Linked DNA regions of Cricetulus griseus. The protein of the gene in region 2 interacts with the protein of the main gene of each other region in a biochemical or structural test. Links are inferred from orthologs where the notes say so. Each region holds a gene or a part of one and is shown on either strand. Other genes may lie near its edges.

Region 1 (10,667 bases), on a different chromosome or scaffold from region 2:
ACCGGAGAGGGACTAAGAGCCTCAAAGAACTTTAGCCATGAATGAAAGGCTTCCAGAGACCCAGATCAGCACAGGAGTGACCATGGGAGCTGGGAAATCACTGCTTCTACCCTACCCATCACCCAGGTTCGTACAGGATTCTCCCTTGCACCAGAATATTCAGGATCGAGTTGCCTAGCATGAGTCAATAAAACTGAAAAAGCCACAGAGCAGACAGCAAGCACCCCTACTTGCTCTCAAGCAAAGAGCTATCACAAAAAACCACCTGATGATTACAGGAGAAAAGAAAGGATTCTGGCTGCCCACTCTCCAGTCACTATAACTCCCTTGTAGTTTCCATAAGGAATTGCTTGGCCCGAGAGTGAGCTCTGGCCTTTACAAAAATAACAACCCTTGAAAAAGACTCGAAGCCCTTCTCTTTGGGATGATGCTGCAGGGCTGTGGTTCTCTCCTCTTTGGGACTGTCCTGTAGGAACCTGGTTCTCTCCCTTCTCATTGGGAAATATGAGTATGAGAAATATTCAGCAGAATTATCTAAGATCCCTAGGTTGTGGAAACTGTTGAGAGACTTTAAACTTCAGTGGAGAGAGGGGTAAGGGACCTTACAATGATAAAGAAAACAAAAGAAATTTTGTTCCCCTAGGGACCTGCAGTAAATACACTTCACCAACTGAGAGCGTTTCCTGAATATAAAGTGAACCCTTCTTACCGAATGTGAGAATACACATCTCCCTCTTCCCAAGGTCACCAAGTGACTTCCACTAACCTCCCTCCCACCTCAGTGGTGTTTACAACCTTTGGAATATTTGTCACTTGTCACGTCCCACCTCAGCCTTTGTTTGGCCTACTTTCTAATTTTAGCTGTTTTAATCGTCCTCATCTGAAGCCTGGCCTTCCTGGCTTCTAATTGTACAAATAACAAATATCTTTTTGATGGATGGTGATGAATGTAAAATAAATTAAAAATAGACCCCACTACACCAAGATATCTACAAGACTCCACTCATCACCTCTTTGAGGCTCAAATGTCATATCCTTAGTAAAAACTTCCTCATTTAGATTGTATAACATTGTAATATACACATGTTAGCATGTGCAATACAAACATAGCATTTCCGTTCATTCTGAAAGTCTTTCCTGCTTTACTTTATCCCACAACATCTATTCCTACTTAACCTTCCTTATATGTTATTTGTTTATTGGTTGCTTCATCAGCCACCAGCGTTGTAAACACCAGAAAGATGCAGTGCTGTCTTGGTTGGTTCACCATGGTGGCACTTAGAAGTCTACCTAGTCAGCTGGGCATTGGTGGTGCACACATTTAATACCAGCACTTGGGAGGCAGAGGCAGGCAGATCTCTGGTCTATAGAGTGAGTTTCAGCACAGCCAGGGCTATTTAGAGAAACCCTGTCTTGAAGAAAAAGAAAAGAAAAGAATTAAAAACAAAAACAAAACCTAGCACTTAGTAGTTGGTCAATGAGTATTAGTTATATGAATTAATTTCATGAAACCTCTAGCCACCTTTTATTAGCAGAATCAGAGCCTCCCCAGGGGAACACATTTAAGAATCCTAAAAGTGATGCATGAATTTCCAAATAGCACAAGCAGATGTCTCATTTCTAGGCCTGTGATCTGAAGAGAAAGCTTCCTCCCCCTTGACCTGTCATACCTTCCTTGATGCCAAGAACTCCATGCCCTTAGCCACTTGGAAGCTGTAGCAGATGAGATGCTCCAAGGTCAGAAAGTCCTTGTACAAGTCCTCAGCAGCTATGAAGAGGCAAGAGGACACAGTTGAGTATTCTCACCAGTCAGTAGCTCTGCTCTAAGTCAGCCCGAGTGGTATCTTCAATACTTGAGAGCCAATTTCAGGAGACAGAAGGAGAGCGCCTGCCCATTTGCTAAACCCCAAGTTATTAGCCTTCATCTTACTCCTTGGGGAAAAAATGTTTTCTCCATTTTAGTCAAATTGAGCCACTAAACCCAGAAAGGAGAATAGAGATGAGATCAGAATAGATCAGAAAGGAGAGAAAAAGGATCTTTTAAAGTCTGCTATCTCAAGTTGTTTTTTTCCCATGAACTCAGAGGGGAAAACAATAGCTCATATTAAGAACTCTAAAAATAAAACAACAATATTGAGGGTCATCAAATCTTTTCTCTCTGGGCTTTTGTCTCCTGGGACAAAGACCAAAGTTCAAACTACAGACTATAACAGATAACTAAAAATACCAGAAAGAGATTTATTTCTCTCACTTTCAAACTTAAGACACGCAGTAAGCACATTAAGTCTGGCCTGTAGAGGAGACTTTCCTCTAAGACTAGGAGTGAGTGACAACAACATGAAAGAAAGATTAATTTACGTAAGTTGATAGTATTTATTACAGCACAACTGATACATATAAACACTGAGCCACCCATGGGTATTTTGAAATGTTCTCCTAACTTAGATCAGGTAAGATATGGCTACTGTCTCTTTCCTGGACACAAGACCAGAGTAAACACAAACTCAGTTGCCATAATAGCCTTGTTACTACTAAGAAGGCTGAGACTTCTTCCTCAATGACTTGTGATGCAACATGGCTAGGAACAGTGAAGCCCTCTTCATTTTCCAGATAAATACATAGAGGCAAAGTTCAAGCCTGAAATTCCAAGCCATTTACACCTCAATCCCTACTCCTAACTCCTTGCATTTCTAGTTCACTGGCTACCATTTGTGAGCAAGAGGGTACACGACCCACTTAACTGCAGACCTTTTGACGGCAGGTCTAGACAACTTCCCTATGCCCCTCTAGCCCAAGCCCTAGCCACCAGCCAACTATATAGCTTCCAAGACAAAGAAGTTAGATTAAGATCTGTCAGTTGGCTTATGGCAGGGGAAACAGAAGTGGGGTTGTGTTTGTCTAAACTCACACTCCCAAGAGAACCAGGCCTTAGGCATCCCCATTACTTTGACCACGCAGCTGTGCCTGATCGTTCTGATTGAAGCAGATGTACAGTGTGTCCTGGAGCTGATTGAAGCATTGGAGGTGAGGCTGAGGTCCAGCTCCACCCATACATACCACTAAAATACCATCAGGACCATAAAGCATGGCTAGAAGGGGGGTGTGAGAAGCCAGTTGGAGTGGAGTGAAAACGGCAGATATGTGCTAACCCATCTTGGAGAAGGCCAGGTAGAGATAACTGAAGGGCCCTCTGTGTGCTAGTGATGCACACTATTGGGTCTGAACCACTTATGGCAATGAAGGCTAGTCAAGTGCCAAAGAGCTCCCATCCTCTTTACGAACATAGCATTCAACCTCGACTGACAATAAATTCTGATCCAGTACTGGACCAGAGTATTGATTTGATTGCTAGTGACAGCTTAGCACACGGAGTTGCCTGGACTTCTCAGGATAACCATGCTTTGCCTCCCAAGGGAGTTCACTGTCTATTTAGGGATTTCATAGTTTAGATAAGTTTGACTGGATGCTACCTAGGAATTTGGATTTCTTTCATCCATGAAGCTTTCCCCCATGGCTGAGTAACTTGTCATCGTCTCTTTCTACAAGAGGATGTGCATTAGGCATGGGCAGCAAGGGCAGGTACCTTCTTCTTCCTCTACATCACTGAGGGATTTCTCCTCAACAAATCCAGAGCTGGCAGAGCTCTGGCTGCTGGTGATGCTATCCAAGCGGCGTTTCAGATCCACAGAGAGCTCCCCAACGTAGTCTTTCCCCTGGCGGAACCGTGCCCCTTTACTCTGGAAAAGAAGGGACTGTGTGAATTCCTCAAATACAGAATGGGTCTCTAATGCATTGCAAGGTCACAAACAGTTGAAATTATTAAAAGCAAACAAAAAAGACAACTCTGGGATTACAGTCTCTGAGTTGAAATGTGGAATGAGTTTTACCAGCGTTCCTTCTATAACACCAAGCTCCTTCTCTTTAGTGTCAAGTGCCAAGTGTCTCCAGGAATACTTGGACAAACTTCCATTAGTGTCCTCTTTACAGAGAGATGAACCCTCATGGAGCCACATATGACTGAGGTGACAGACTATAATCTAGAACCAATGCTCTCTCGGCCCTACACTTTCCTTAATCAAATCTAGCACCGTTGTAATGGGTCAGGAGATTAAAGTCCTAAAAATAAAATATGAGAAGCCTACAACCCCCAGAAGACAAAAGTGGACGTTAAGACAACCAGGGAAATGTGCAAAGAATTCCAACTAAAAGACATATGTGAGCCACTTTGAGTTTTGCTCTGCTTTCTGTATGACCATGCTCAGGCAGACGACAACGACATACCTTATAGGGAACAAATTCATTTCTCTTGCCCCGTAAGTAAGTTGATAGGTTTCCAAACTTGCAGAATTCCACAATCACCATGAGAGGCCCTGCAAATAACACAGTGAGTTAAGAAAGAAAATGCACTTCACCAACACTTCTCACTATGTGCTCAGCATATTGATAAGCCCAAAACTGCCCTAGAAGAAGGCTACATTTAACCTTTCACAGGAACAGGGTGGGCGACATCGGCTGACACCAATCCTTCCTATTACAATTTTTCTTTTTCAAAAAGATGATTCTACATGAGTAATCCAAACATCAGCAATCAGCTGAGGTGACTACGGGATGGGAGGCAAAGGAGATGATGAGAGTTTCTTTCCTGCCAAGGTCTGGGGAATGTTCCTTTTTCCCATCTAACAAAACATCTCCCCATGATGAGACTATTCTTTAATTCAAAGGATGCTACAGAATCATTTGATTATGGTGTCCACTAAATTTCTATGCAGCATAGTACATTTAGGATTCTTCAAAGTATTGCTTCCTTCAAACGCCAACAGAGGGAGAGCTATGAGTCAAACTCCCGAGAGCAGTCACAGCAGTTACTTACCTCCCGGCTTGGTGCAGGCACCTAGAAGGTTGACCACATTGAGATGGTGGCCAATGTGGATGAGGATCTTGAGTTCAGACATGAGGGCTCGGTGCTCACTGTGTGTTGCTCCTTCTACAAATTCAGAATAAAGACAATAACTGTTAACTGTCGCCATTGCTGCAGGATGATGGGTGCACTTAACCACACAACTTGCTCTCCCAGAAGAGGGCAGCTATAGCTGACAGAGCAATGGTGTGTTCTGAAATGTCAAATGCAAACTCGGTTTTCTAACTAGAAAGCAAGGCTTTATTTTAAGCAAACCCTGAATCTAAGGTGAGTTTCTTGTAAAGTTGGGAACATATTTGCAGTGGAATCAAAGCCAGATTCTCTTTCTATACAAAACTGGAATTTTCAGGTATAATAGGCTACTTAGGTCATAATCACTTCAATGATTCCTCATAGGGAAGGGTCCCATACATTAAGTATTCTCAGATCTAGGGACCATGAGTTGGGTGAATAAAGGCACTTGCCCACTGAGCCTAACAACTCCTGAGTTCAAACCCTGGGCCCCTGGGACCTACATGGTGGAAAGAGAGAACTGACTCTTGCAAGTTGTCTTCTAACAATGCATATATTCTCTCTCTCTCTCTCTCTCTCTCTCTCTCTCTCTCTCTCTCTCTCTCTCTCTCTCTGTGTGTGTGTGTGTGTGTGTCTCTGTCTCTCTCTGTCTCTCTCTCCTCCTTCTCCTTCTCCTCCTCCTTCTTCTTCCTCTTCTTCTCTCTCTGTCCTCCATCACTTCCCCCTCTTCACACACACACACACACACACACACACACACACACACACACACACACACACAATGTGGTAAATTTGCTCAAGTCTATACTAATTTTCCAATTGATCTGCACCAAATAAATAAGTTAACAGGACTAGCACACAAGCAAAGCTGCTTGCACATGAGCGTACTGGGGCTAAGGCTGCATTTGAAGCTATATGGACAGCTACACTTCTTACTCACAACTATGGGTTTCACCTCAGGGCCTGATGACCCATCTCTACACACACACGCACACACACACACACACACACACACACACACACACACACACACACACACGCAGGCACGCACACACGCAGGCACGCACACACGCAGGCACGCACACACGCAGGCACGCACACACGCAGGCACGCACACACGCACACACCTACCTTAAGCCTGGAGATAGAAAACGCAAAGGGAGAAAGGCACAAGACCTACTGGCAAAGGACAAGCAGCAGCATCTCCCTCCATGGAAGCAGTCACAAATGGAGCAGAAGCTTTACCTACATCACTTTCCCTCATCAGAATGTCCAGGCTGTAGCTCCGTTACTATGAAAAGATGCTGATGTCTAAAAGAACACCCACATCCTCTTCTGTTTGCATAGCTACTCTTACTTCGTAAAATACCTTTGCAAATGAAGTTCTTTGGCATGTTCTAATTCTAAAGAACATGATGGTTTCGCATTCTCATATTTTTACTGATAACAAACTTCTTTCCTCATTTCCAAAGGGTTTATATCAGCTTACACCATAATACATTGAGGAAAACTTTTAATAGACCCAGATAGTTTTCCCCCAATTGTACTAGTTGATCCTTGCTCCCTGGTCATGTGCCCTTACATGACACTTTTTAAGGAGGGAACTGTTTCCAGTTTGTGCAAAACTACCAGAAGCCAGGGGCCTTCTGGCCAACCTATGCACAGAGCCACCAATGCAAGCCTTATACCATTCTTAATGATGGTCAAGATAGAGGGAGCCACATCACAATGTCATTTTGCTTTTTACCTTTCAACATTTTGACGGCCACTGTTTTGCAAGTTGCTGTCTTGTCAATTCCAAAGGCATCTGCCTCAATCACTTGGCCAAAGGCACCACGGCCAAGAGGCTTCCCTAGAACCAATGATAATGATAATTACAAAATTTGATTGTCATGTCACACTATCAGAGGACTCTGTGAAGATTCTAATTGGTTAAGGTGACGTTGTATTCCATTTAGATCCACAGCCTGGTTTACTTCCTCCTCCTGGCTTTTCCCTTCACCCTCTAAAATGCCCTGCTTTGAATGATTGTATGGGTTCCTTACTTATAGAAGGCTATATGGATGAATACCCAAAGTCAAGAGATAGAATTAACATTTATGAATCAGAATGCATCCTATGAATAGACTAGACATGTCATTGTCTTAAGGAGAGTTAGGTGGACTGCTAAAATCAAAATCAAGTTAATTCCAGTTGACAACTCACCTAGTTTCAGTCGGTCCCTGGGGAATTCCCATTTGCTAGCATCATAAGGCAAGCGTTCACAGCGCTCATTCAAGGGCAGTTCATCTGGATCCATGACAATGGACAAGTAGCCTGTCTTCAGTTCCCCTTCATTGGCCTAGAAAGTATAAACCCTTCCACTCACACACAGATCCTGTTGTTTGGTTGTTGTTTTGTATACTTGTTGCTGTTTAATAGGGAACCCATTCATGGTATCTCATTTTCCAATAAAACTCATGAAGTTTGAGAGAAGTCCTATTATAACCCTGCTTTTAGTGCCTCTTTAGTTTCCAAAATGAGTTCAGAATAGAGTTTCTAAATCTTAATTACAGTGGACAGTCCAAACCCTTTACCCCTCCACTGGCTTCCATCAATTAACGTCCATAGTTCAGCCAAAGAAAATGGACAAGAATGTTATTGTATTGAAGTAAAAATGTGCCCATTGAATCAATAACAATGGGAAGAAGCAGCTGAAAGAAGCCCAGTCAGGTTCCATTAATCACAAAAACCAACATGCAAGGGACAGGATGGACATTATGTTGTTACCCGCTTAACGGTCCGTAGAACGATGACAAGAAGTAGCCAGAAGAACATAGCAATCACAGCAGTGCCCACAAGAATAATGACTTCCAAGTTGGTCTTTTCCTGAGCACCTGGAAGACACACATTTGAGTGATCAGCAACTGAAAGCCTTTGACAGAAGGTGATAAAGCTATGACATGAAGGCAGGACCTCAGGCTCATCCACTTTCAAGACCTCCACAGACCAACAGCCACAGGCTCCTTAAGTTGGATAGAGTTTCCAGCATTCTTAAAGAACAAGAAAACATCCAGTAATAGGATTCTCAATGAACCATAGGTGCACAAGTATCTTAATAGATGCGTATAGGATGTGTCTGGTGAGAGACTTCTTTTGAGGGAAAAAGAAAAGGTACTTCCATTTGTGGGTAATACAGTCTGGTTTTGTGCTGACAGTCAATGTTTTCACTTGTGTGGCATGGGAAAAGTGATTGTTTAGAAAACTCTACAAGGAAATAAGGGAAGCCCTTTGCCCCGACAGCTGCCTGTGACCACACACCTACAACCTGCTTCACTTTTTCAGTATTCAGATTGAAGGAATAAGATTTGAAGGATTAAGCTACTTGTTTGAGAGACACAGGAAGTTGGTGGGTTGTTCAAGGGTTATACCAGGTCCATCCAAATTGGGCTCACCAATATTTCACCCTGTCCCTGCATAGCAGAAGTGTGAAAAGCAGAAGAGAGGAGAAAGGGAGAAAGGAAGATAAAGAGGGGGAGGAGAGGAGAGGAGAGAGAGAGAGAGAGAGAGAGAGAGAGAGAGAGAGAGAGAGAGAGAGAAGGAAGGGAAACTGGCATAAGCCACTGACATAAGGGCACTGATGTGTGAAAGGAAAGGAGAAAGGCAAAGCTAAGCAAGGCATAGAAAGTTGTAGACTCCTCTCCAGAGTGTGTTCCAAGAGGAGAATTACCAGCAGAAGGCTCTTAGCACCAAATGATTAGGAGGGAGGTGATTAGGACACAATTATCACTTGGGATCTCTGTCTCTCAACTCCCAGTGTGCAGTATGAGTTGAAATGAGCCCTGAGCTAGCTGGGGGGAGGGAGTGGGGAGCCAGAAGCCAGAAGACAAGCAATTAATTAGTTGGCAAAATAAGAGTTACCAGTTGGGAGACAAGCTCTGAATGCATCAGTAAGTGGATTTGGTTTCTCTGCGGTTCCCAGGGAAATAATTCTCTATCTGTGTGTAAAGATTTAGAAGTCTATTCATGTGGCACAGAAGAAAGGTCAAAGGTTGAACTGTCTCTACCAGTTTTTGTATGAATATTCTCATATTAACATCTGAGAGCTAAACATCTTGCTATTGTCCCCAGGTGAGTCTCCACAATACCCATGCCACTGTGCCCACTCAGGCAGGGTAACCTAATGCAGAAGGCTAATGGAGGGAAGTAGAGTACCAGAGAGAACTGATGGGCACATCCTCCCTGAGATCAGCACTAAGACATGGATGTCTTTGAAGATGATAGAACTACCATGCAATTGGCATCTTCACTTGCAGCTGCAGTTCATGGAATCCTAACATTCTTACAGATTTGAGAACATGATAGTCACTCTAGATGCAATATTCAACAGCGTGAGTTTGACAGATTAAAGGGACCAACATCTAGACTTTAGAAATCCGCCAACCCTGCCTCTCTAACCTCCCTCAATCATCCCCTTGCACACCACTCCTTCAGTCACACAATATAGTTGCATTGTTCTCTTAGTAGGTTATAAAAGAAAAAAAGGACTCAGCATGCTCTTCATAAGTTGAAATATTCTGTCATAGATTGCTGACTGAAAAAAAGGCATACACCACACACACACACAGGGTAGAAGGAAAGAGGTTTCCTTTCAGTTTTCAATAATAACCCTCAATTTTCCATGTCACAAAAGCAATCATCTATCGTTTATGAGTGAATCTTGCCTCAGCTCTAGTGAAAATTCTGAACCTATGTCACTAATTGAATAGCAATGTCAACACCAAATCTAATTATTTTCCAAGCATCAATTCTTTAAGTTAACTTGGCCATTCAAACAAAGTGAGAACGAGGGACAGGAGGCTATTCATCACTCCTGGCTAAAAGTTTTCTCACAGTGAGAGCCGCGTGAATAGGAAATATGGTACAGGCTGAAGCATACCCATAATTTTGTTTTCTGATTAAAAGAACAGAAACCCATTGAAGACAGAGTATGAAGAACAGGGGGAGAATCTCCAACTCAGAACTCCCAGAGGACCAAGATCAGAAACTTTTTGAGTGCTAGTCCCTTACCTCAAGTGACAAGACACAACCAACAGGCAGATGCCCTGAAAATGTTATGTAAAAGTGCCTTCTGGCTATGTGTGTAAAGTTTACATGACACCTGAACAAGTTTTATGCTTGGATGTAGGTCCCCTCCACAAAATATCTATTAAACATATGAAAAATTCTAAAAGCTGGACTATATCTCTTCCTAAATATTTTAGATATGAAACACTTAACCACCATGAAGAGCATAGTCACCTACATTCCATCCCACTCAAAGTATTTGAGGCTATGAACACAGACTAATCCAAAAAAAAAAAATCTGTTGGGTCTATGGCATCACACTGACCTTCTATTATAAAAAGTGTCTCCGCTCTTGCACATCCAAGGACATTGCAGGCCTGACAGGTGTAGAGGCCTTCATCCTCCTTCCTCACCCTTCGGATAGTTAGGTTCCGGTTCCCATCTTTCAGTACAATTCCTAAAAGAGGAAGGAATTGCTTGCTTTGTTTCTGATGATGCAATCTGTGCATTGAGAAAATTCTTAGAATAGTTGCTGCTGCCCTTCAGCTCTGGCTATTATCCAACTCTAAAGAGGCACATGGGATTGACTCCTATCTCCCATGGGATCTCCATGTGAAATCAATAGGACTCCAAATACGCTGCTTCTGGCTCTGAAATGAGCCAGATAGACCCTTTACCCAAATACATTTTT
Region 2 (10,667 bases):
CTGGTGGGTGGCTGCCATGCTGGTCTCTCAACCTGGTGCCTTTATCCCACTCCTCTCAGGTACATGGCTCAAGGTTGAGGCTGCTCCAGGTGACCCCAGCTGACTCCGGGGAGTATGTGTGCCGTGTGGTCAGTGGCTCGGGCACCCACGAAGCTTCTGTCCTTGTCACCATCCAGCAGCGCCTCATCCCCTCTCACTGTGAGTGTCTTAGCAATTGCAGTGACTAACAGGGGCTGTGAGGGGCCCAGCTGCACCCTCAGTCTGCATTCTGTCTCATTCCAGCCCAGAGCGTGGTGCACCCAGTTCGCATTGAGTCCTCGTCACCCTCACTGGCCAATGGGCACACACTGGACCTGAACTGCCTGGTGGCCAGCCACGCCCCCCACACCATCACCTGGTATAAGCGTGGAGGCAGCTTACCCAGCCGGCATCAGGTACAGAGCCAATGGACAGGACAGCAGTCTGGCAGGCAGTCCAGAGTGGATTCTAGCCCTTAGTCCTGTGCTCATTCAGTCACTCAACAAACACTGAGCATCTCTGCTGGGTAGACTTGGACTGGCACTGGGGTACAGATTGATCCTGCTGGCCCTGGTTCGGGCTCCTCTGAAGCCACTGCTTGTGCCTGGCACTGCTGAGCCCTCATACAGCTGGTGGTCTAAAGGGAAGCTGACATACTAAATGACAGCAGGGTGTGACAGGTGTGGGGGCTCAGTAGGCCTTTGGAGGGGTGAAGTATAGGAACAGCACAAAGACTAGAGGCTTCGTCCATAGGACCCAGAGGGTGTCACACCGGGAGCCTCAGGAAGGCACTGAGGCAAGGTTGGGGAGAGGACTTCCAGGATCTGATGTCTGTAGGGCCTATGACATGTAGGTTCCACCTCCACCCACTGTCATCTGTTCCTCCAGATCGTGGGTTCCCGCCTCCGGATCCCTCAAGTGACCCCAGCGGACTCCGGAGAGTACGTGTGTCATGTCAGTAATGGCGTTGGCTCCCAGGAGACTTCGCTCATTGTCAACATCGAGAGCAGAGGTCCATCCCATGGTGAGAATGTGGTGGACAAGGGGCTGGGCAAGTGAGTGTTGGGGAGACAGAGGTCCCCAGTATTGTCACTATTGTCTAATTGCATTCTCTCCCCTACCCTCCTCTGTCCCCAGTGCCCAGTGTCTCCCCACCAATGAGGATTGAGACCTCATCTCCCATAGTGGTGGAAGGACAGACCTTGGATCTGAACTGTGTGGTGGTTGGGCAGCCCCAGGCCACTATCACATGGTACAAGCGTGGAGGCAGCCTGCCTTCCAAACACCAGGTACTAAGAGGAACTGAGGCAGTGGGGTGGCCCTTCGATCTCTCAGGATGGAGGGCTCCTTCTCACACCTAGTGTACTCCAGCCATCTGGACTTTGGGTAGACAAAAGGCAGCCTCAGCAGGGCCAGCGATGTAGCTCAGTTGGTCGTGTGCTTGCCTGGCATGAGGACTCCCTCCCTAGCGCCACAGAAAACCGGAAGTTGTGCTGTGTTGTATTCTCAGGAGGTGAGGGCAGAAGGATTAGAAGTTCAAAGTTATCCTCAGCTGTTTAGTAAGTTCCCAGGCCATTCTGGTCTGTGTGAGGACCTGAGTTCAAATTCCAGCATTCATGTAATAAGTCAGGTATGGTCCTGCACCTGCCTGTAATCCCAACATTGAAGTTGGCAGAGACAGGGTGCTTCTGGGGCTTGCTGGCTACCAGCCTAGTTGGTAAAACACTCCCAAGTTCACAGAGAGACCTTGCCTCAAAGGAACAAAGGGGACAGTAATAGTGGAGACACCTGACGGCCTCCTCTGACCTCCACATGGGGGCACAACCGTGTGCATCAGTACATCCACACCCATGCACATACATACACACTCACAAAAACACATATACACAAAAATAAGTAAGACAGCCTCAGCAGGCCTGGCAAGGGAGGTTGGAGTCAGTGGGGCCGTGGCTGCTGATCTCAGCCCTGTCTGTCTTATCCCCATCTGTCCCAGGCCCACGGCTCTCGTCTGCGGCTACACCAGGTGTCAGTGGCTGACTCCGGCGAGTATGTGTGCCGAGCCAACAACAACATTGATGCTCAGGAGACCTCCATCATGATCTCAGTCTCCCCCAGCAACAGCAGCCCCTCTGGTAGGTCTGACTCCTGATCCAGGAAAGGGACAGGGAAACACAATTCCCTCGGAAGAGAAACCTTGAGTTGAAGCCCACAGACCTGGGTGTAGGTGAAGGCAAGGGTTTACAAAGAGTGTCTGTGTTCAAATCCTGCTGTGTCACTCCAGCAGTGAATAAGTTACACTTTGTTCGTAGCCTCGGTCTCCTTGACAGTGAAATGGGGACACAGATCACTGCTGCCTCATAAAGCTAAACTGTCACACTAGCCTTGTAGGCAAAAATCGTTAACAAGCCAGGCCCAATGACAAAGGCCTATAATCTTAGCTCTTTGGGAAGCTAGGACAAGAGAATCAAAAGTTCAAGTCCAGCCTATGCAATTTAGTGACACCCTATCTCAAAACCAAAGTAAAAAGAGGGCTGGGGGTGTGGCTCAGTGCTAGGGTTCTTGTCTAGCATGCAAAGACCCTGGGTTCAACCCAAGTACTACAGAAGAAAAAACAGAAAGAAATTTGGTTTGTAGGCTGGGGAGATAGCGCCATCAGTAAAGTGCTTGCCATACTCACATGAAGACCTGAGTTAGAGCCCACATAGAAAAACTGGATGCAGCCTGGCAGTAGTGGTGCACACCTTTAATCCCAGCACTCAGGAGGCAGAGGCAGGAGGATCTCTGTGAGTTTGAGGTCAGCCTGGTCTACAGAGCAAGTTCCAGGAGAGCCAGGACTGTTATATAGAGAAACTTTGTCTTGGGAAACCAAAAATTAAAAGGACAACATTCTGCACTCAGGGGGTAAGAAGCAAGCCAATCTCTATGAGTTGGAGGCCAGCCTGGGCTACAGAGTAAAACCCTGCCTCCAAAACAAATAAATAAATGAATAAAAACAAGATTGATGTCTCTGAAAAATAGCACCTAAGGTTGACTGCTACACACACACACACACACACGTACACACACACACACACACACACACACACACACACAATTTCGTTTTATGCCGAGCACAGTGGCTCACATCTGTAAATAAAAAATAAAGTCAATATAAAAGGATGTTTCCATCACCCCAGGGTACGGAAGTGTGAGGGTTAAGTGTGTTGGTCAAGGATGTGGGTACTTAGAGCAGTGCCTGGCACCCTGATGGTGCTTACCAGGGGGTAGTTGAGACTACCCTGGGCTATGGGTTTTCTGTTCTGTGGATCCTATACCCCACTTGAGAATCCAGCCCAGGCTAATCTGCTCTCCTCTGTCCTCAGCCCCAGCCGGTGCCACACCCATCAGAATCGAATCCTCTTCTTCAAATGTGGCCGAAGGACAGACTGTGGATCTGAACTGTGTGGTCCCTGGACATGCCCATGCCCAGGTCACATGGCACAAGCGAGGGGGCAGCCTCCCTGCTCGACATCAGGTATAAAATGGAAAAGAAATGAGAGAAATGCTGGCCGGGAGTGCTGGTTTGCTCTGCCCAGGAAGTAGGCATGAGACCCCTGTGGGGATACCTCACACACCTGGAGTGGAGGCTGGACCTTGGCTCCCAACCTTCCAGGCCTCTCGGTTGATATCTTATCCCTCATCCTCTGTCTTTGGCCCACCCCTGACCAGGCCTACGGCTCAAGGCTGCGGCTGCACCAGGTGTCCCCTGCTGACTCGGGCGAGTATGTGTGCAGAGTTCTGAGCAGCTCTGGCCCTCTGGAAGCTTCAGTCCTGGTCTCCATTACAGCACCTACCACTAATGCCCACGTCCCTGGTGAGGATCCCTGCATGGGTCTGGAAAGAGAGACAAGGGAGGGAGAATATCAGCTGAGCTGGGTATCTTTGAGGCCTGGAGACAGCAGGTGTCTGATTCCAGACTTCTGCCTCCTGTCTCTTGCCCTCCCTCGCTGTTCCAGAACACAGGGCCAGGCCAGACGGTATGAGTTTCTCTCTCTCTCATGGGCTTGAGAACACAGCTTTCAAGTGTGGTATCAGTGTCCCCACCTGGAGACGTCACACAAAGAACTCTCCACATTGCTGTCCTCCATGGACAAAGGACAGTGGGGCTCTTGCTAGTGGGGTTTTTACCCTCTACTATCTCGATGTATAGGCAATCTACTGAGGTCCCGAGAGCCTGGCCTTGCCCTGTGGGTTGTTAGAGGTCATTTGGGATGGTCTTGATGAGTGTATCTACTAGTTGTGGTATATTAACAACTGCGGCACCTCAGACCTGTTGTGGTTTGAGGTAGTTATTACTAGAGTGGAGCTAAGGACTAGGTTTTAAAATGGTTCAATTAAAGGAAAACAGGGGACCCAGGCATGATGTGATGTCAGTTGCTCAGATCCAATCCTCCTGCTGTTCATATTAACTGCATTTCATCCTGTTAGCCCTGAGGCTGGATGACAGTTCTCCATTTTACAGTTGGGGAAATAGAGACACAGAGGTAGCTTCCCAAAGATCACACAATAAGTGGCCATGCTAGCAGCTGAGCTCTTGCAGTCTGGCCCCAAGGTCTGCATTCCTAGCTACCACCTACTGCAGATTGGGAAGTGTCAATGGCTCTGTGGAGGGGCCTAGCCCAGTGGTTCTGGGAGTATATGGTTGCCTGGGGGTGGGGCTAGGAAAAAAGAGGGGTCCCCATCCTCAGCGAGTCCTTCCCTCCAATCTGAGTGGCCTGAAAAGGAAAAGAAGCCACCTGCCCCTTGAAACCAGTGTGCACAGTAGAGCACCCGGGAGAGACTGAGCAGCCTTAGCCACTGACCACTAGCTGTGCCCTGGCCCCAGGTGGAGTCCCGCCCATCCGCATCGAGACCTCTTCCTCCCGAGTGGCTGAGGGGCAGACCCTGGATCTAAGCTGTGTGGTTCCTGGGCAGGCCCATGCCCAGGTCACATGGCACAAACGTGGAGGCAGTCTGCCCGCCGGGCACCAGGTACAGAGCCTGGAAAGAGCAGCATGTGCCCCTCTTCCTCAACCCCAGTGATCATTTCCTGAGCCCATCCCTGAAGGGAGGGTGGCCCTAGCAGCCCGTGACAGTTTGAGAAACATTGTACAGCCACCTAGAGACAAGTGTTTGCAAACAGACCAGGCACAACAGGATTACCCCCAGTACCCAGCACTTCCTCAAGACCCTACTTCCTAAACTCTACTGTCTGTTACATAGGAGGCAGAGTTTTGTGTAGGCCAGGGCGGGGCACCTAGAGGCAAAGCAGTGCTCCCCACCCTCTCCCCTCTATGCAGGTCCACGGTCACATACTGAGGCTGAACCATGTGTCCCCAGCGGACTCTGGCGAGTACTCATGCCAAGTGACTGGCAGCTCAGGTACCCTGGAGGCTTCTGTCCTGGTCAACATTGAGTCCACTAACCCCAGGCCCATCCCTGGTGAGTGACATGGAGCAGTGGGTGATGTTGGGGATGGTGCTTTCCTGGCCTTGCTTTTTCTTCACATAGGGCCTTTATTTTGGTAGATTTTGTGGTTGCTGCTGTGTTTTGTTTCGTTTTGCTTGTTTTTTGTTTTGAGGGTTGTTTTTTTTTTGTTTTTTTTTTGTTTTTGTTTTTTTTTTTGAGACAAGGTCTCACTTTGTAGCCCTTACTGGCCTCTAACTCATGCTACTCCTCTCTCTCTGCCTCAAGTTCTGGAATTACAGACAGTTGTCAGCATACCTGTCTAGGCATGGCATTGTTCTTGGGTCATTGGCTTTCATATGGCTGAGGATCAAGCCCACCCAGGTCAAAGCTTCCATAATCTGTGTCTGGGTTACTAAGTCCTTCAATCACCCTCAATCAGTCCTGGTTCTCAGCAAGACACCTCAAAACCAGGGAAGGGACACTGCCTTGGCTGATATGGCTCAGCTGTGTCCCCTCTAAGAGTATCACCACAGTTAGGTCCTTACCCTCACCCCAGGAGCCTTGACTGTTCCCCACCTCTGTGCCTGCAGCTCCAGGACTGGCCCAGCCTATCTATATAGAGTCCTCCTCCTCCCACGTGGCTGAGGGACAGACTTTGGATCTGAACTGTGTGGTTCCTGGGCAAGCCCATGCCCAGGTCACATGGCACAAACGAGGGGGCAGCCTGCCTGCACGACACCAGGTACTTGGTCAGGGTGGGGAGAAGCCTGGAGTAGGCGAGGTCTCCTGTAGTTTCCTCTGCACCTAAGCCCCACACAGACCCCAGCATTCATGGGATCGTGGGAAACAGGTATCCATCAGGGAAGAGTGCCCCAGACCAAGAGAACAGTTGCTGAAAGACGTTCCTCCTGGCATTGCTTTACAACTAGCATTTAAACCCATGTCCCACTCAGTAAAGAGAATGTGTCAAACTCGAGAGATTCTGTGCGGGAAGCTCCTTCAGCCCACAGCTGCAGGCCTAGCTCTAGGCCTCACTTCCCTCATCTCCAGAACCCTTGATGGATTCCTTCCCTTACTCTTCTGACAGACTCATGGCTCCCTGCTGAGGCTCCACCATATCTCCCCTGCTGACTCTGGCGAGTATGTGTGCCAAGTGGCTGGTAGCTCCCGCCCTGAGCATGAAGCTTCCTTCACAGTCACAGTCCCGCCCAGCGCAGGGTCTTCCTACCGTGAGTATAGGGAATGTCCGGAGTGGGGAGGGAGGCCTAGAGCCTAGACAGGACCTACCTGAGTGGAGCCAGCCCACCCAAATGAGCCTAGAATCTGACCCTCGGGCTCCATCCAGGTCTCAGGAGCCCCGTCATCTCCATCGAGCCACCCAGCCTCACAGTGCAACAGGGCCAAGATGCCAGTTTCAAGTGCCTTATCCACGAGGGAGCAACACCCATCAACCTTGAGTGGAAGACCCGAAACCAAGAGCTGGAGGGTGAGTGGCTGGCTGCCTGGGCTGGAGGCAGGAGGGAGGGCCATTTGCTGTGAGACACAGGGTGGAAAGCTGGGTCCATGCCATGTTCCCCAGTGGCTCTGAGTGAGGCTTGAACCCATCCATGTAGTGACGGAGCAGGACCCAGAAGACTGCCAGGGCTCCCACTTACCATCTATGACTTCGAGCCCTGTGTCCAGACCCAAAGGATCAACAGTGAACTAGCCTTCCCTCCCTTGGTGTTGATGTGATAAAATACCCTGATGAAAGCAACTGTGGGGGGAAATAGGACTTATTTCAGGCCACAGCTTGGGGATTATGCTCCGTCAAGGCAGCAAGAGCTCAAAGCAGCTGGTCATGTGACATCCACAGCCAGGAAGTAGGGAGGGATGAGGGAATACCTCTGTTCAGCTCACTGTCTCTTTTCATACAGTCCAGAATCTCCTGCCCAGGTGATAGCTTTCTCCACAGTTAACATGTATCTTCCCACACCAGTTAACCTAATCTAGGTAATCCCTCACAGGCCTATCTCTGAGGCAGTTCTAGATCCCGTCAAGGAACAGCTAACACTAACCATCACACTTTACCAATGCAACCCCACAGACAATGTCCACATCAGCCCCAATGGCTCCATCATTACCATCGTGGGCACCCGGCCCAGCAACCATGGAGCCTATCGCTGCGTGGCTTCCAATGCCTATGGTGTGGCCCAGAGTGTCGTCAATCTCAGTGTGCACGGTGAGAAACACCAACCCATGGTTCTGGCCCTCTTGCCAGCCCAGCTTTTCCAGGTTTAAAATCAGTCCCACCACTGCCAGCCCTCTAAGAATGGTATTCAGCTGTGGACTGTGGCTCGTCTGTAACCCAAAGCTCTGCGTGTCATTCCTCCCTCAGGGTCTCCTACAGTGTCTGTGCTCCCTGAGGGCCCTGTGCATGTGAAAATGGGTAAGGACATCACCTTGGAGTGCGTCAGTGCTGGGGAACCCCGCTCTTCCCCCCGTTGGACCCGACTCGGCACCCCTGTCAAGTTGGAGCCGCGGATATATGGACTCATGAATAGCCATGCAATGCTGAAGGTGAGGTTGGGGCTGCGCCATGTCTGGGTCTGAGGTCCTTCCTAGGAGCTGACTGAAGCAGGTGCCTAGAGGCCTAGAGGGGACATAAGTAGATGGACAGATAAGAGGAGGTTAGTGGGGATTGGAAGGTGGGAGAAGAGAGGATGAAAGGAAGAACTAATTAATGACTCAGAAGCCTGGGTGGACGGGTAGCTGAGTGATGGGTAGATTGGTTGCTTAGCAGATAGATGGACCCATGGGCAGTTGTGAAAGTGAACCTTCCAGCAGCACAGAGAAGAGCTAAAAGCAAAGGAAGGCATCTAGGGATACTGCTCAGTTGGGAAAGTGTTTGTCTATTGTGTACCAAATCCTGGTTTCCATTCCCAGAACCACATGAACAAATCATGGTAGCATAGGCCTGTACTTGAAGCATCATTCAGGGTGTGGAGGCAGGAGATGAAGATTGTCACCAAACAGAATTCCAGGCCAGCCCGGGCTACATGAGACCCTAGCTCAGAAAACAAACACAATAATCAAAATACAAAGGAAGGGTTCAGTATCAGTGTCCTCTGCCAGGCACCTTCAAAACCAGACTGTTTTCTTCTAGATCTCATCAGCTAAACCATCAGATGCAGGCACCTATGTGTGCCTGGCCCAGAATGCCCTCGGCAAGGCACAGAAGCAGGTGGAGGTGATCGTGGACACCGGCACTGTGGCCCCAGGCGCCCCTCGGGTCCAAGTTGAAGAAGCTGAGCTGACCTTGGAGGCTGGACACACGGCCACTCTTCACTGCTCGGCCACAGGTGTGGTGTGGTGGAGCCCCACAGAAAGGCAGAGCAGTGCTGCTCTGGGGCTTGGATTCGTCTGAAAATGATGCCACGCCCCAGAAGCATCCACTTAGCCAGTCCCATGGAGGAATAGGTCACTTACAACCTTTTCCTATCACCACACACACTTGATTGATCCCTGGAACAGCCTAGTGACCAAGCCATCTTCAACCCTATAGGCAATCCCCCGCCCACCATCCACTGGTCCAAGCTGCGTGCCCCCCTGCCTTGGCAGCACCGGGTAGAAGGCAACACACTGGTCATTCCCCGGGTGGCCCAGCAGGACTCAGGCCAGTACATCTGTAATGCCACCAACTCTGCTGGGCATACTGAAGCCACTGTTGTCCTGCATGTGGAGAGTAAGTCTCCTATACCCTCTTCGTGGACTTACGTTAGTGTTGCATGGAGGTCTATGTTCCCCTGCCAAGCTCCTCTTTGGGCAGAACCCCAGCATCCCCTTCCATCTAGATGACTCCAGAGCCTGCCCTGACTGTCACCCATGTCTCCTCTTGGGCCCTAGGAGCTTGATTGCATTATCTGGATGCAGCTACCTACTGTGGTTCTTTCCCACCTGATCTCTGTATGTGTGTTCTTCAGGTCCTCCTTATGCCACCATCATTCCAGAGCATACCTCAGTGCAGCCAGGGAAGCCAGTTCAGCTGCAATGCCTGGCTCACGGCACGCCACCACTCACCTTCCAGTGGAGCCGTGTGGCTGGCATCCTCCCTGAAAGGGCTGTTGCTAGGAACGAGCTGCTGCACTTGGAGCTCACAGGTCCTGCAGACTCTGGCCGCTACCGCTGCCAGGTCTCCAACAAGGTGGGCTCAGCTGAGGCCTTTGCCCAAGTGCTGGTCCAAGGTAAGCAGCTAGAGTCTAACTGGGAAACCAGGAGTCAGCTTCCTTGTGGGCCCTTTCTTTTCTTTTTTTTTTTTCCTTTCTTCCTTCCTTCCTTTCTTTTTCTTTCTTTTCTTTTCTTCTTTTTATTTTTTTTTTGGTTTTTCAAGACAGGGTTTCTCTGTGGCTTTGGAGGCTGACCTGGAACTAGCTCTTGTAGACCAGGCTGGTCTCCAACTCACAGAGATCCGCCTGTCTCTGCTTCCCAAGTGCTGGGATTAAAGGTGTGTGCCACCAATGCCCAGCTTTGTTTTTCTTATGTAAAGAGAAGGGGGGGAAAGTGTCTCCCTCCCGGCTATTCATGTCTTGGGCCACCTTCCCTATCCAAGGGCCCAAACTCTGAGAGGCAAAGCCCAGTCCCACACTGGCCCTTGGTGCATCAAATGATTGAAAATGATTGACTATGAGAACAGATGAGTGGATCTGTATTGAAAGGACTATCTGAAGAACATCCCTTGAATGTTGAGATGAGGGTATCCTGGTACCCGGGTATTTCAGGGATATGACGCATACATGTGTACAGAAGAGCCTTGGGTGTCCTGTGTGATGCTGTGGACCTTTGTCCCAGCTCATCAAGATAACTAAGCTGAGGTAGCACTTGATCCTAGGAGTTCAGTACTACTCAGGACAACAGAGGAGAAACCTCATCTCAAAACCCTATACAAACAACCTCATGCCCTTAGCCTGGGGGCGGGGGGCAGAGGGTATGACTTGTGCTTGTTTAACTTACACTGAGTCCTGGCTTCAATGCCCAGCACCATATAAATTAGATGTGGTGACATATGACTGTAATCCCAGCATTTAGGCAGGAAATTACAAAGTTCAAGGTCATCCTTAGCTACTTAATGAATTTGAAGATAGCCTGTGCTACATGAGCCCCTGTTATAGTAAACTAGCTAACTAACTAACTAAATCTCACGTGTCTCCACAGGCCCTTCTGGCGATCCTAACTAACTAACTAAA
Region 3 (10,667 bases), on a different chromosome or scaffold from region 2:
GAAGGCAGCAGAGCAACCAGATAGGAGCCGGGATCTTGGACCTCTCCAGCACCATGGTGAGCCCATATTACAGGCTCAGTGACACCACAGAGAACCACCTACACTGATCAGGTTCTGTCACAGCAGCTGAACCTCATGATCAGGGTTACTTTAAGTCCTAGTCACGCCTACCCGAAGCCCTCATAACAGGACAGCCTGATCTGCAAAGGTTAAAGGGTGATCCCAAGGTACTCACCTTCACAGGACACACCATCCGCCATGATGGCGTAGCCAGGGAAGCAGGAGCACATGGCTGTGCCTCCAACAACACGGCACACCTGCCGGCAGGGCCCATTGTCTGAGGGAAAATTCCTGCTGTCAGAACACATAGGCCTTGGCCTTGACCACACAACTTATACCCAAACTCTGAGATAAGGGTTGAGGTCTCCACTGCAGGCCCAGGAAGACAGATGTGAAGAAAGGAGAACTCCATGCCGGTGCCTTTTCATGGGGTCCCCAGGAAGTGGCACTGGGAACAATATTTTGGGATTTCCCCACACACCATTCAGATGCCAATCCAATCTTCAAGTGCCAGGGAGGACAGTGAGGAACAAAAGGTAGGAGGCAGGAAGGAAGACTTCCCAGCATTCCTGAATAAAAAATTGGCTTTACAGGAATGAGACAGAGCAGGAGACCCACTTGACCAGGGTCACATGGACACCCAGAATCCCCCAATGTCACCACCTCCTTCTCAGTCATCACCAGGCAGGGCCCACCCTTTCCACAAAGCCAAAGCACCTGATGGCCTGGACCAGCTCGCATACCTCCAGCCCCAGAGCCCTCCACACCACATTGGCCAGACTTATACAGCCCAGGCTCTGCAGAAGGCGCAAGCCTCCACTCACCTTTGCAGGTGTTGGGCTGTGGCACAGGCAGTGGGATGGTGTTGGGAGACACCTGGGCCGACTCAGACCTCGGTGCAGATTCCCGTGCAGTGTCCAACTGTGGGGCACCTCCATCTGTTATAGGCAGAGTATACAGCAGGGGGCAGGCTTACATCTTCTGTGAGGCCTTGGACACTCACAGGCAACCACACCAGGCACTGACCACTTGCCCATTCATGAGCAAAGAAACTGAGGTTCAGGGTACAAACATACCTTGGGCAAGAGCTATCTCATAGCTACTGGGAGAAGGCAAAATAAGGAAGGAAGAAGTAGGGGGTGTCTAGACTAAAAAGCAGCTCCACCCCATACACCTGGCAGGGAGAAAGCCATGGTTCTAGGTACACAGCTAGGGCCTGGTAAGGGTCCAGCTCCAGGCAGTCTTCAGAATTCCCAGAGCTAGGAGTCTCCTCTGGCTTCTGCCAGCATCAACACAGGGGCAGCAGGAAGAGAGGTAGCCTAGTAAGGCTACCCTCCAACAGCAGGACAAGCCTGTGCCTGGGCTGCCTATAGCTCACCTGGGCGGCAGGTGCGGCCGTCACCCTGCAGCTCAAATCCAGGGAAGCAGGCACAGCGGTAGGAGCCCACAGTGTTGATGCAAAGATGCTGGCAAAGCTCCCCCGGGAGCAGCAGACACTCGTCCTGGTCATCTCCCGGCAGGCTATTGGGCAGTTCAGCCTCTGTGCCCAGTGACAGGGCCTCCCGATTTGCCATCTCTGCCTCTGAAACTGGGGTGGTTGGTCAGCATTTGGAACACAGCCAACTTGGCCAATGGGTGGTTGAGCTCACAGGATCCAGGAAAACAACAGAGGCTCAATGGATGGTAACAATAGAGGAGTGAAGGAGGGAGAGAGGGAGGCATGGATGGAGGGATGGATGGATGGATGGATGGATGGATGGATGGATGGATGGATGGATGGATGGATAGATGATAGTGAATCCATGGTAACAGTCTGAGTCTTTACCACCTGGGTCCCTTCAATAGGACAGGACCATACCTAAAGGGGGCTCTTGCTAAAGTAATGAAGTAGAGTCATAGGAGTGCTGGCCTGGGTTGAGACAGATCAGGATATGACCCCTGATTGCAGCTTTCTTATCTGTGTCAGCACAGGGTCTTTTTGAGGTCCTGGGACCCACTGCCTACTCTGCAGAGGGTAGCAGGTGAGAAGAGAAGGTGGCGGTGGCTGCTGCTGCTGCTAGGCTGCTCTGCACTGGCCTAATACCTCAGCCCTTGCCATCAGCCTCAGGCAACAAGAACAGAATGGTAGCATGAGGCTGCACTCAAGGGCATGTCCTGGGGAGGGTGCCTGCATTGAGCTCCATCCTGAGGAGCCCTGGCCTGGTGCGCACAGCTGTTCTGGGGACCTAGAACGGTGACTGGGCAGAGGCAGACCAAGGCGCTGGGGTCCCTGAGCACATCAGCATGTCCCTCCATGGGCTAGGCCCTGTTCATTGCCATCTGCATGTCCTTCCTGTCATCCTCCCAGCAGAAAAGGAAAGGTCTCAGGCTGTTTCAAACAGGACTTAAAGTAGAACAGTCTGTTCCCACCACCAGTATCTCCCAGACCCAGAAGACTCCAGAAGCTCCTCACAGGAAAAGGTATGACGTTATATGGGTGGTTACATTGGGGGATGGATGGACCCCGCCCAGCTGTGTTGTCCACCCGGTCCCCTGTGTCATGCTCTGACTGCTGATGCTGATTCTGAGTTTCCTCCTGAACTCTACTTTGAGCCACTCTCTGGGTAATAAGTTGTTCTTCAGAAATTACTGTCTTTAACCAGCACCTTGGATGAGCTGGTGGATGGGTGGGTGGGTGAATGGGTAGACAAGCAGATAGAGAGATGAATGGAGAGATGGGTGAAAATGGATGAGCAGGCAGGTGGGTGGGTGGGTGGTGGGTGGTGGGGTGGTGGGGTAGGTGAAAAAAGAGGTGAATGAGTGAGTGGGGGATGTGGATAACGGGTAGATTTGGGGATAACGGGGAAGTATAACAATGAATGGATGGACAGATAGGCAAGTAGGTGGATAAGAAGTGGATGGATGGATAGATGGATGAATGGTGACAGATGACAGACTGATGGACAGATGACTGGATAGGGAAAGAGATAAACAGAACTGAATGGTGGAATGGGGAAACAGTGGAAAAATGTGGATATGGCCAGAGCGGCCAGGGTGGTGAGGGGATGGTTGAAGGTCACTGGTGATTGGTGAGTGGCACTGAGAACTGTGTAGGACTGCCACAACAGCACACAGTTAGAGTCCTGCCAGTAGCCACAGAACCCTATAGAGCAGAGCTCAAACTTCAAACCCCATACAACAATGGACCAGGATCCCTACCGTGGCCTGTGGCCACCCAGCCCAACCATCCTTAGTGCCCTAACCATCTTCCTCCAATTGCCTCCACATGGGAGGCAATTGGCCTGTACCCACCTCTTCGCGGGGTGGCCTCAGGCTCTGGTGGCCGACGGACCTCAGGCACTATGAGGGGCTCTTCGCCTTCACAGCAAGACAGCATGACATGGTTGCACGGATAGCCCAGGTTGGGGTTGGATTCACATGACTGGCCCTCGGCCCGCACTCGGAGTCCCAGGCCACAGCAGTCACAGCATTGCTGAGGAAGACAGAGCGTCAGCACCGGGCCCTCAGAGCCTACTTGACTTCCCACGGTCTGCGTGCCTGTGACTCATTCGGTATCCATGAGCATAGCCTGGAGCAGGCTCTGGGGTGAATTAGCATTGTCTAGTTCCTCTATCTGCCTGTATGCTCTCCCAGGGTGGAGGGTGACCCACCCCTATACCCCAAGTCTGGAGAAGGGTAGGACTAATGTTAATTTTCTTTCATGAATGAATAAATGTCCCTTTGGAAAGAACTACAAATGAAGCCCAGTCCTGCTCACCATGCCCCACCCTTAGAAGCAGACTCTAATCCTGTCAGCTCAGCAAAAAGAGAGCATTTCTCAAGGGACCTTACAGTCCTGGTGGCTTCAGGACAGGGATTACTTGGAAGTGAACCCATCTCACTCTCCCTGTTGCTCCTCAGAGTGTATATGTGATGAGGCTCCTGGTGTCATGTCATGCCATGAAGGGACCTGAAGCTAACACTCAACAATGACAATTCAACAACAACAAAAAAAGAGGTTGTATCCCTAAGACTATGTAGACTCACCTGGCCAACAGCCACAGGGAGATCTGATTTACATTATCAAACTGTGGCAGTAGGTTGGGTGCAGCAACAACTCCAGCTTCCCAGCCTCCCCGGCACTTAGTTTGTGGCTGGACAGCTCAGCAACTCAGAGAGTAAGTATGTGGCTCCAGCTTGGGGTAACCAATCACTTGCTTTGGTCACTAGGGTAAGATAAAAGTGACCATATGCCCATTTTAAACCTAGACTTCTAAAGAGCTTGCATGCCACTAAAATGTGGGTTTGGCATATGCCTACTCCAGGGCCCAGGGCAGGTCTAAGGCCACTGAGGCCCTTGAAGGGGACTTTGGAACACTAATTTCTTATGTGAGCAACTGGCTCTACCACGCATATCATGCCATGCCATTTCACCATGGGCCAAAGGCAGCATGGCCAACCTGAAACGTTTCACTCTCATAATGGAGTTATCTCAGGCATGTCACAGTGAGGAAAGCTGAGCAATACATGCTTTCAATCTCTTTCTCAGAGTTCTATCTGAACCAGGCCCAGCCAGCCCATTGTGGGAGAGAATGGTCCATTCAGGGAACAGAGAGAGTTTAGCTGTAGGCCACCTACATTGCCTGGCTCCAGAGAAGCCACCAGCCAGTGACAATCACACAGGCCCAGCTAAACATTTTTTTTTTCTGATGCCAAGCCAGCCACAAGCAGATACGATGAGTGATACTCCAGTCCTTCATCTGATGCTACACTACCCACTGCTGAAGGCCACATGGCCACAAGTTCCAGGTGCTGGCACTGGGCCTTGCCTGCCCCAGGATGGGCAATTCCTTGCTCCTGTTTTATTCAATGGGGAAACTGAGGCTGAGAGAAGGGAACTGGGCTTAGGGTAAAGGTAACCACAGAAGGACTCTGCGCCTGCCTGCAGCAAGATCCTCTTCTAATACCAGGTCATCTCCCTTCCTCCTGGTTTATCCCTGTCCCTGAGGCAGCTTGGGCCTGCCTGCCTCCAGCCTCCAGCAGACACATGCAAGGGAAACCAGCTTCTAGAACTCCCAATGCTTGCAGCCACACTGATCCTTGGACCACCGTGCACTGCCACACAACCTCCACCCGAAGACCTCTTCAGGCACTCCCTTCAGGCACACCACACCCTGCTACACTCAACCAGACCTGCCTCAGAGAAAGCAAGATGTCACTTGGGTTATTACTGGAGTTCAAAGCATACTTTGTGGATTTGTTGACCAATGCCATGACTGTTAACATTTCCTGGGAAGGTAGTGAGTCTGTCCCCCACCCTGCCCCCAAGATGTGGTGTCACCCATCTCAGCCACAATTGCAGAAGGGGGGACTTGCCTTGTACAGGGAGATGCCACAGGTATCATTGTCCTCAGCTCCACAGGCCTCACCCTCCTTGGCCCCCATGACGCCAGCCATGCAGCTCTTCTCCTTCAAGTAGGAGACACAGCAGTGCCTCTGGGCTATCCTGAAACAGGCGGCTGCCTCAGTACCTGTCTTCTTGGGACCCTCCCCTGGAGGGTGACAGTCCCCACCTCACAGAAGGGAGATGGAGTGGAGTCCTGAGAAGGGAAGCCCCCGCCCGAGGTCTACAGCAAGTGCGGCCAGGACTGGCAGCAAGGCAGGCACAACCCCCACCAAGTCTGAGGCCTGGGACCCACTGGCCTCAAGAGTTGTGTCCTTGACTCTGAAGAAAGGTGTTGGCATTCAGAGTTCCACTACCAATCCTGAGAAAGAGAGACCCAAACTCAGAAAGGACAGGGTAAATCTGGTGAAGAGAGTGGTCACTACCTGGCCCTCTCTGTTGTTGGTTGTTTTTTAACTCTTTACTCTTTAGGGGGCCTGCCACCCAGCTCCCAAATAAATCACATGGAGGCTTATTTTTTCTTATTAAAAGCCTGGCCTTAGCTTGACTTGTTTCTAGCCAGCTTTTTTTTTTTTAACTTAATTTATCTCATCTACCTTTTGCCTTTGGGCTTTTACCTTTCTCTATTTCTGTATATCTTTTCTTTCCTTCTTATTCCATGTTTGGCCATGTGGCTGGGAAGCCAGCCCTTCTTTTCTCTCTCCTTGACCTCTCTCTCTCTCTCTTTTTTTTTTTCGAGACAGGGTTTCTCTGTGTAGCTTTGGAGCTTATCCTAGCACTCACTCTGGAGACCAGGCTGGCCTGAACTCACAGAGATCCGCCTGCCTCTGCCTCCCAAGTGCTGGGATTAAAGGCGTGTGCCACCAACGCCCGGCTTCTCCTTGACCTCTCTTGCTTCTTGAGCCCTCTTTTTCTCCTTCTATTTATTTTCTCTGCCCTGACAGCCCACCTGTCCTTTCTCTAGCTATTGGCCATTCAGCTTTTTCGTAGACCAATCAGGTGTTTTAGGCAGGCAAAATAACACAGCTTCACAGAGTTAAACAGATGCAATATAAAATAAAGCAACACATCTTTGCTTCATTAGGCAAATGTTCCACAGCATAAATGAATGTAACACATCTTAAACTAATATTCTACAACATCTCTCCACGTCGCCAATCTGTGGAAGAGGAAGCTGAGAGCCAGCAAAGCTTAGATCAGGGGAGGCAAGGACTCCACACTACTTGGGAGGGACACATAAAGGGATCAACTGTCCAATGGTGGAGCCGTGGTCCATGTTGTGGGGGAGCTCAAGAGGATGTCAGTATTCATTATGGCTGCAAAGCTCAAAATGCCTGGGGTCTGAATAGTGTGCACGTTCTAACTATTCAGTAACCCAAATGGGAGTGGCAAAAAGGAAAAGGGAGGGACAGAGTTAGAATTTAAATTTCTCTAAAGAAGGCAGACTGGGGTCAGGCACGGTGGGTGGTGCATGCCTTTAATCCCAGCACTTGGGAGGCAAAGGCAGGCAGATTTCTGTGAATTTGAAGTCAGCCTGGTCTACATAGAGAGTTTCAGGTCAGTAGGTCTACACAGTGAGACTCTGTCTAAGAATTATGGAGGAAGCAGAGGCAGAATGAGCAGGACATTAGAAAATATGGGTTCTAATCCTGGCCATACTACTGGTGGGCTGTGCAGCTCTAGGAGAATCGCACTGCCTCTCTGAACTTCATTCTCCTTTCTGAAAAAATGAGTAGGTTGTGAAAGATGAGCAAGGGAGATAATAGCTGCCCAATCCTGGCAGGGCAAGCAGAGCACACACATTTGAGCCACAGCACAGGTGGCAGAGGAGAACAGAGGGCAGCCAGGCTGTGGAGAATGTAGGGTGGCTGAGCTGGGGGAGCGATAGCTGCAGTAAGTGGGGAGCCCAGCAACCCCAAGGTGGTGATGTCCCTTTGAACTTGTTCTAAATTACATACCATTGCATTTGCCCACCAAGACAGCCACAGATCCACATGGCCAACTGACTCTCAGGACCAGTCATGTGATCACCTGACACTCAGGACCTCTCTGTCTCTCCATCAGCCTGGCCAGATGGCTCACTGCATTCACTCTGGGTCACCTTCACACACCTGGGGCCCAGAGAAAGCAACAGCAGTTCTGTCCACCCCAGCCACTCACCTGCAGACGTCACTCTCAGCACCGTTCTGGGGGATTTCCTGGCACTCATCATTGTCGATGGCCCACTGCTGGCCAGCTGCACAGCATGTCTCAATCAGGTCTTTGGTGGAGACTGTGGGTTGCAATGAGGAGGTGTAGCTGGGTTTCGGGTCCACCAAGTGCAGTATGTACTGCAGACACTGGGCAAGGGAACCTCTTACCCCCAACCCCCATCCACCCCCTACCCTGCACATCCAGCTCTCCCCTTCTAAGGAAGCACTGGAGAGACTTGGTCCTCCTGCAGCCAATGGGTAGCCAATGGCTGGCTCCAAGAGCATGCAAACATACTTGTGTGTGTGTGTGTGTGTGTGTGTGTGTGTGTGTGTGTGTGTGTGTGTGTGTATTTGGGGGGGTGTTCACTCCAGAGCCCACAGGATCAGACTGTGTAGGCAGCAGCTGACCTGTAACTTGTCTAGTCCCTTCCCTAACCCTTATACTGTTTTGCCTAGACATGTCCCTAAATGAACCATTACGGACATAAGAAACCCTGACTTTGGTTCTGCTTCTGAGGAGCCTGACCTGAGTAGCCCAGATGGTGCAGGAGACAAGAAAAGAGCTTCAGCGGGCTTGTGGGATTCCACTAAGAGCTATCTTAAGTTTCTTTTCTCAGGGATGTAATGGTGAAATCTAACTAATAAAAATTAACACAATGATTAAAACTAAAATTAAAATTAAAACTAAAATTAAAACTAAAATTGATGTATTCAAATAGTGGCTCTTTTTAATACAGTAATAGGAAATTTAGCAGGAAAAATGTCATTTAAAAGAGAACTCCAGATTTCAGCATTAAGCATGTTGTCCAACAAGAAGGGAATATCTGTCTCTGTCTCTCTCCTTCTTCAATTTATTTTATGTATTATTATTTTTTTGCCTGCATGTATGTAAATGTACCACATGAATGCAGAGCCCACAAGGGTCTCAAGAGGACATCAGATCCCCTGGAACTGGAGTTACATGTGTTTTTGGGCTGCTGTGTGGGTGCTGGGAACTGAACCTGTGTTCTCTGCTAGATCAGCAAGTGCTTTTAACCACTTTATTTGAAGCACATACCATGTATGCATACTTGAGTAAAGGGTCTATGTACTCAAGACATGAACTCTCCTGTATGTGAGCTACAACTTTAATACAATTATAATCAAAGACCCAATCTGTTTATGGGGTTTGTCAAGGTGATTCTCAGATTCAGATAAATAGCCAGGCCTGGTGTAACCAGCCGGTAATCCACTACTCAGAAGGTCTTGCGGCCAGACTGTAGTTCAAAATCAACTTTGTGAGACTCTGTCTCAAATTGAAACCCTAAAAACAAAGAGGGGCAGGGTTATGGCTCTCAACCAGGCTGACTGCTTCCTTTTCCCTTTTCAGGGATCAAATCTCATCAGAAAATGTCTTCCTGACCTCTGTGTACCCCAACCCCATCACATCACCCCACTCAGCCTCTGTTTACAAAAGTGACTATAAAAAAGTATACAAGCCAGACAGGGAGATACATGCCTGTAAACTAAGCATTCTGCAAGCTGAGGAGGGAGGATTACAAATTTGAGCCTGGGCTTCATAAAGACACACACACACACACACACAGAGAGAGAGAGAGAGAGAGAGAGAGAGAGAGAGAGAGAGAGAGAGAGAGAGAGAGTGAGAGACAGAGAGAGAGACAGAGAGAGAGAGACAGAGAGAGAGAGACAGAGAGAGAGATCCTGGGGTCCTGGCCAGGCAACATATGATGGATGTCTTAAGAGATAACAATGACAGCCCCAATGTGCTGAGTGCCAGCAGCAAGCCAGGCGAGAGGCCAAACACTCCAGCTGTTGTTACTCCCTCTGCCCAGAGGAAGTGGAAGACTAGAGAGTCCAACATCACTTCCTCTCTTCCCTTTCTCTTCCAGGCAACATGGCAACAGCCAGCCTTGAATGACGTGAACCCAGCCTCCAGCAGGCCAAGGGGTTGCCACCACATGGACTTGGTGGTCTTCTCTTCTAGTTTCTTGGTCTCAGACCAGATTTTAGCCTGCACTTGGTAGACTTCCACTATTCCCCTGGCTTTTCCCATCCCAGGTTTTCTTACTTCAAAGGCATCTAGAGCTATGACCTCATGCTGGAAGGTCAACCTATTTGGAGCATAAGGGGGACTGGGTCTAATGTGGATGGTCCTGAGGCAACTCCCACAGGCTTGGCTCCTTCCCTGACTCCAGACATCCCAGCCTCTCTGGGGATTTCTTGACCTCTCTGGCTTCTGGCCTGTGGGGTATACACCAAGGATCCTCCTCTTCATCACACTCTGACTCTTAGTGACATCCTCTGGTCTATGGGCCTCCTATGTCACCTTCCCTTGGCTCCTCCTACACTTCTATACCTAGCTTGGCCATAGGAATTTGTGCCCCATCAGCACAAATTGACTTGCTTCAGGCTGACCTGGCTTCCCAAGGCTGGGATGTTTGCCTCCTCCTGAAGCCTAAATTGCTGCCTCACAGGACTTTCTTGTGTCAGTGAAGTCCCTGAGTGTCCTAAGGACCCTCCAGGACAAATCTATACCACAAGGGTCACCTCCAAAGCACACACAGTCCACCCACCTATCTCATCGCTCTACCTCACCTAGTGTCCCTCTGCTTTCATCTGTCCTCCAGTCACTTCCAGGATGGTACCCAGGTGACTGTCCACTCACAGGAATCAGATGAGGACTCCTCTGTGACTGAAGTCCCATGGATGGCCCTGCCTCCTTCTCCACTTTTTCCCTTCTCTGCTCACTCATTCCTTGGTGTCTCTGCCTCATTTCTTCCCAGGGTCTGAGCACTTGCTATACTGTCTGCCTAGACTCTTCTACCCCTCTTCCTGCCTTGCTTCACCTCTACTCTCAACCAGAGGTTGCTCTTTTCCCCTTTTCAGAGATCACTTTTCCTCAGAGAGGATCACCCTGGCTTCCGTGTACCCCAACTCTACCACATTATCTCACTTACCCTTTCTCACACTGCGCTGGCCTTGGGTAACTCTGAGCCATCTTAGGGAGCTTGGAACTGCATGGAAAGCCATTA

The links. The genes of interacting proteins can lie anywhere in the genome.
Region 1: the proteins of Hspg2 (region 2) and Kdr form a complex in vitro, tested with the Homo sapiens proteins (2 studies listed by IntAct). The link is inferred for Cricetulus griseus from reciprocal best matches to the Homo sapiens genes HSPG2 and KDR.
Region 3: the proteins of Hspg2 (region 2) and Fbln2 form a complex in vitro, tested with the Homo sapiens proteins (2 studies listed by BioGRID). The link is inferred for Cricetulus griseus from reciprocal best matches to the Homo sapiens genes HSPG2 and FBLN2.

What each region holds. Positions count from the first base shown.
Region 1 is NW_023276807.1:142,420,517-142,431,183, forward strand, and holds part of Kdr (vascular endothelial growth factor receptor 2), read right to left. Parts: intron 10,434-10,667; coding exon 10,302-10,433; intron 7,807-10,301; coding exon 7,700-7,806; intron 7,272-7,699; coding exon 7,136-7,271; intron 6,783-7,135; coding exon 6,678-6,782; intron 4,985-6,677; coding exon 4,871-4,984; intron 4,371-4,870; coding exon 4,282-4,370; intron 3,738-4,281; coding exon 3,584-3,737; intron 1,769-3,583; coding exon 1,671-1,768; intron 1-1,670. UniProt on the Homo sapiens protein: Tyrosine-protein kinase that acts as a cell-surface receptor for VEGFA, VEGFC and VEGFD. Plays an essential role in the regulation of angiogenesis, vascular development, vascular permeability, and embryonic hematopoiesis.
Region 2 is NC_048595.1:15,784,449-15,795,115, reverse strand, and holds part of Hspg2 (basement membrane-specific heparan sulfate proteoglycan core protein), read left to right. Parts: intron 1-59; coding exon 60-198; intron 199-282; coding exon 283-434; intron 435-906; coding exon 907-1,042; intron 1,043-1,155; coding exon 1,156-1,307; intron 1,308-2,011; coding exon 2,012-2,150; intron 2,151-3,380; coding exon 3,381-3,532; intron 3,533-3,726; coding exon 3,727-3,871; intron 3,872-4,882; coding exon 4,883-5,028; intron 5,029-5,336; coding exon 5,337-5,478; intron 5,479-6,035; coding exon 6,036-6,187; intron 6,188-6,532; coding exon 6,533-6,674; intron 6,675-6,790; coding exon 6,791-6,931; intron 6,932-7,531; coding exon 7,532-7,666; intron 7,667-7,822; coding exon 7,823-8,004; intron 8,005-8,590; coding exon 8,591-8,786; intron 8,787-8,989; coding exon 8,990-9,169; intron 9,170-9,407; coding exon 9,408-9,668; intron 9,669-10,667. UniProt on the Homo sapiens protein: Integral component of basement membranes. Component of the glomerular basement membrane (GBM), responsible for the fixed negative electrostatic membrane charge, and which provides a barrier which is both size- and charge-selective.
Region 3 is NC_048601.1:52,559,037-52,569,703, forward strand, and holds part of Fbln2 (fibulin-2), read right to left. Parts: intron 7,716-10,667; coding exon 7,604-7,715; intron 5,546-7,603; coding exon 5,416-5,545; intron 3,533-5,415; coding exon 3,352-3,532; intron 1,649-3,351; coding exon 1,439-1,648; intron 999-1,438; coding exon 885-998; intron 338-884; coding exon 236-337; intron 1-235. UniProt on the Homo sapiens protein: Its binding to fibronectin and some other ligands is calcium dependent. May act as an adapter that mediates the interaction between FBN1 and ELN.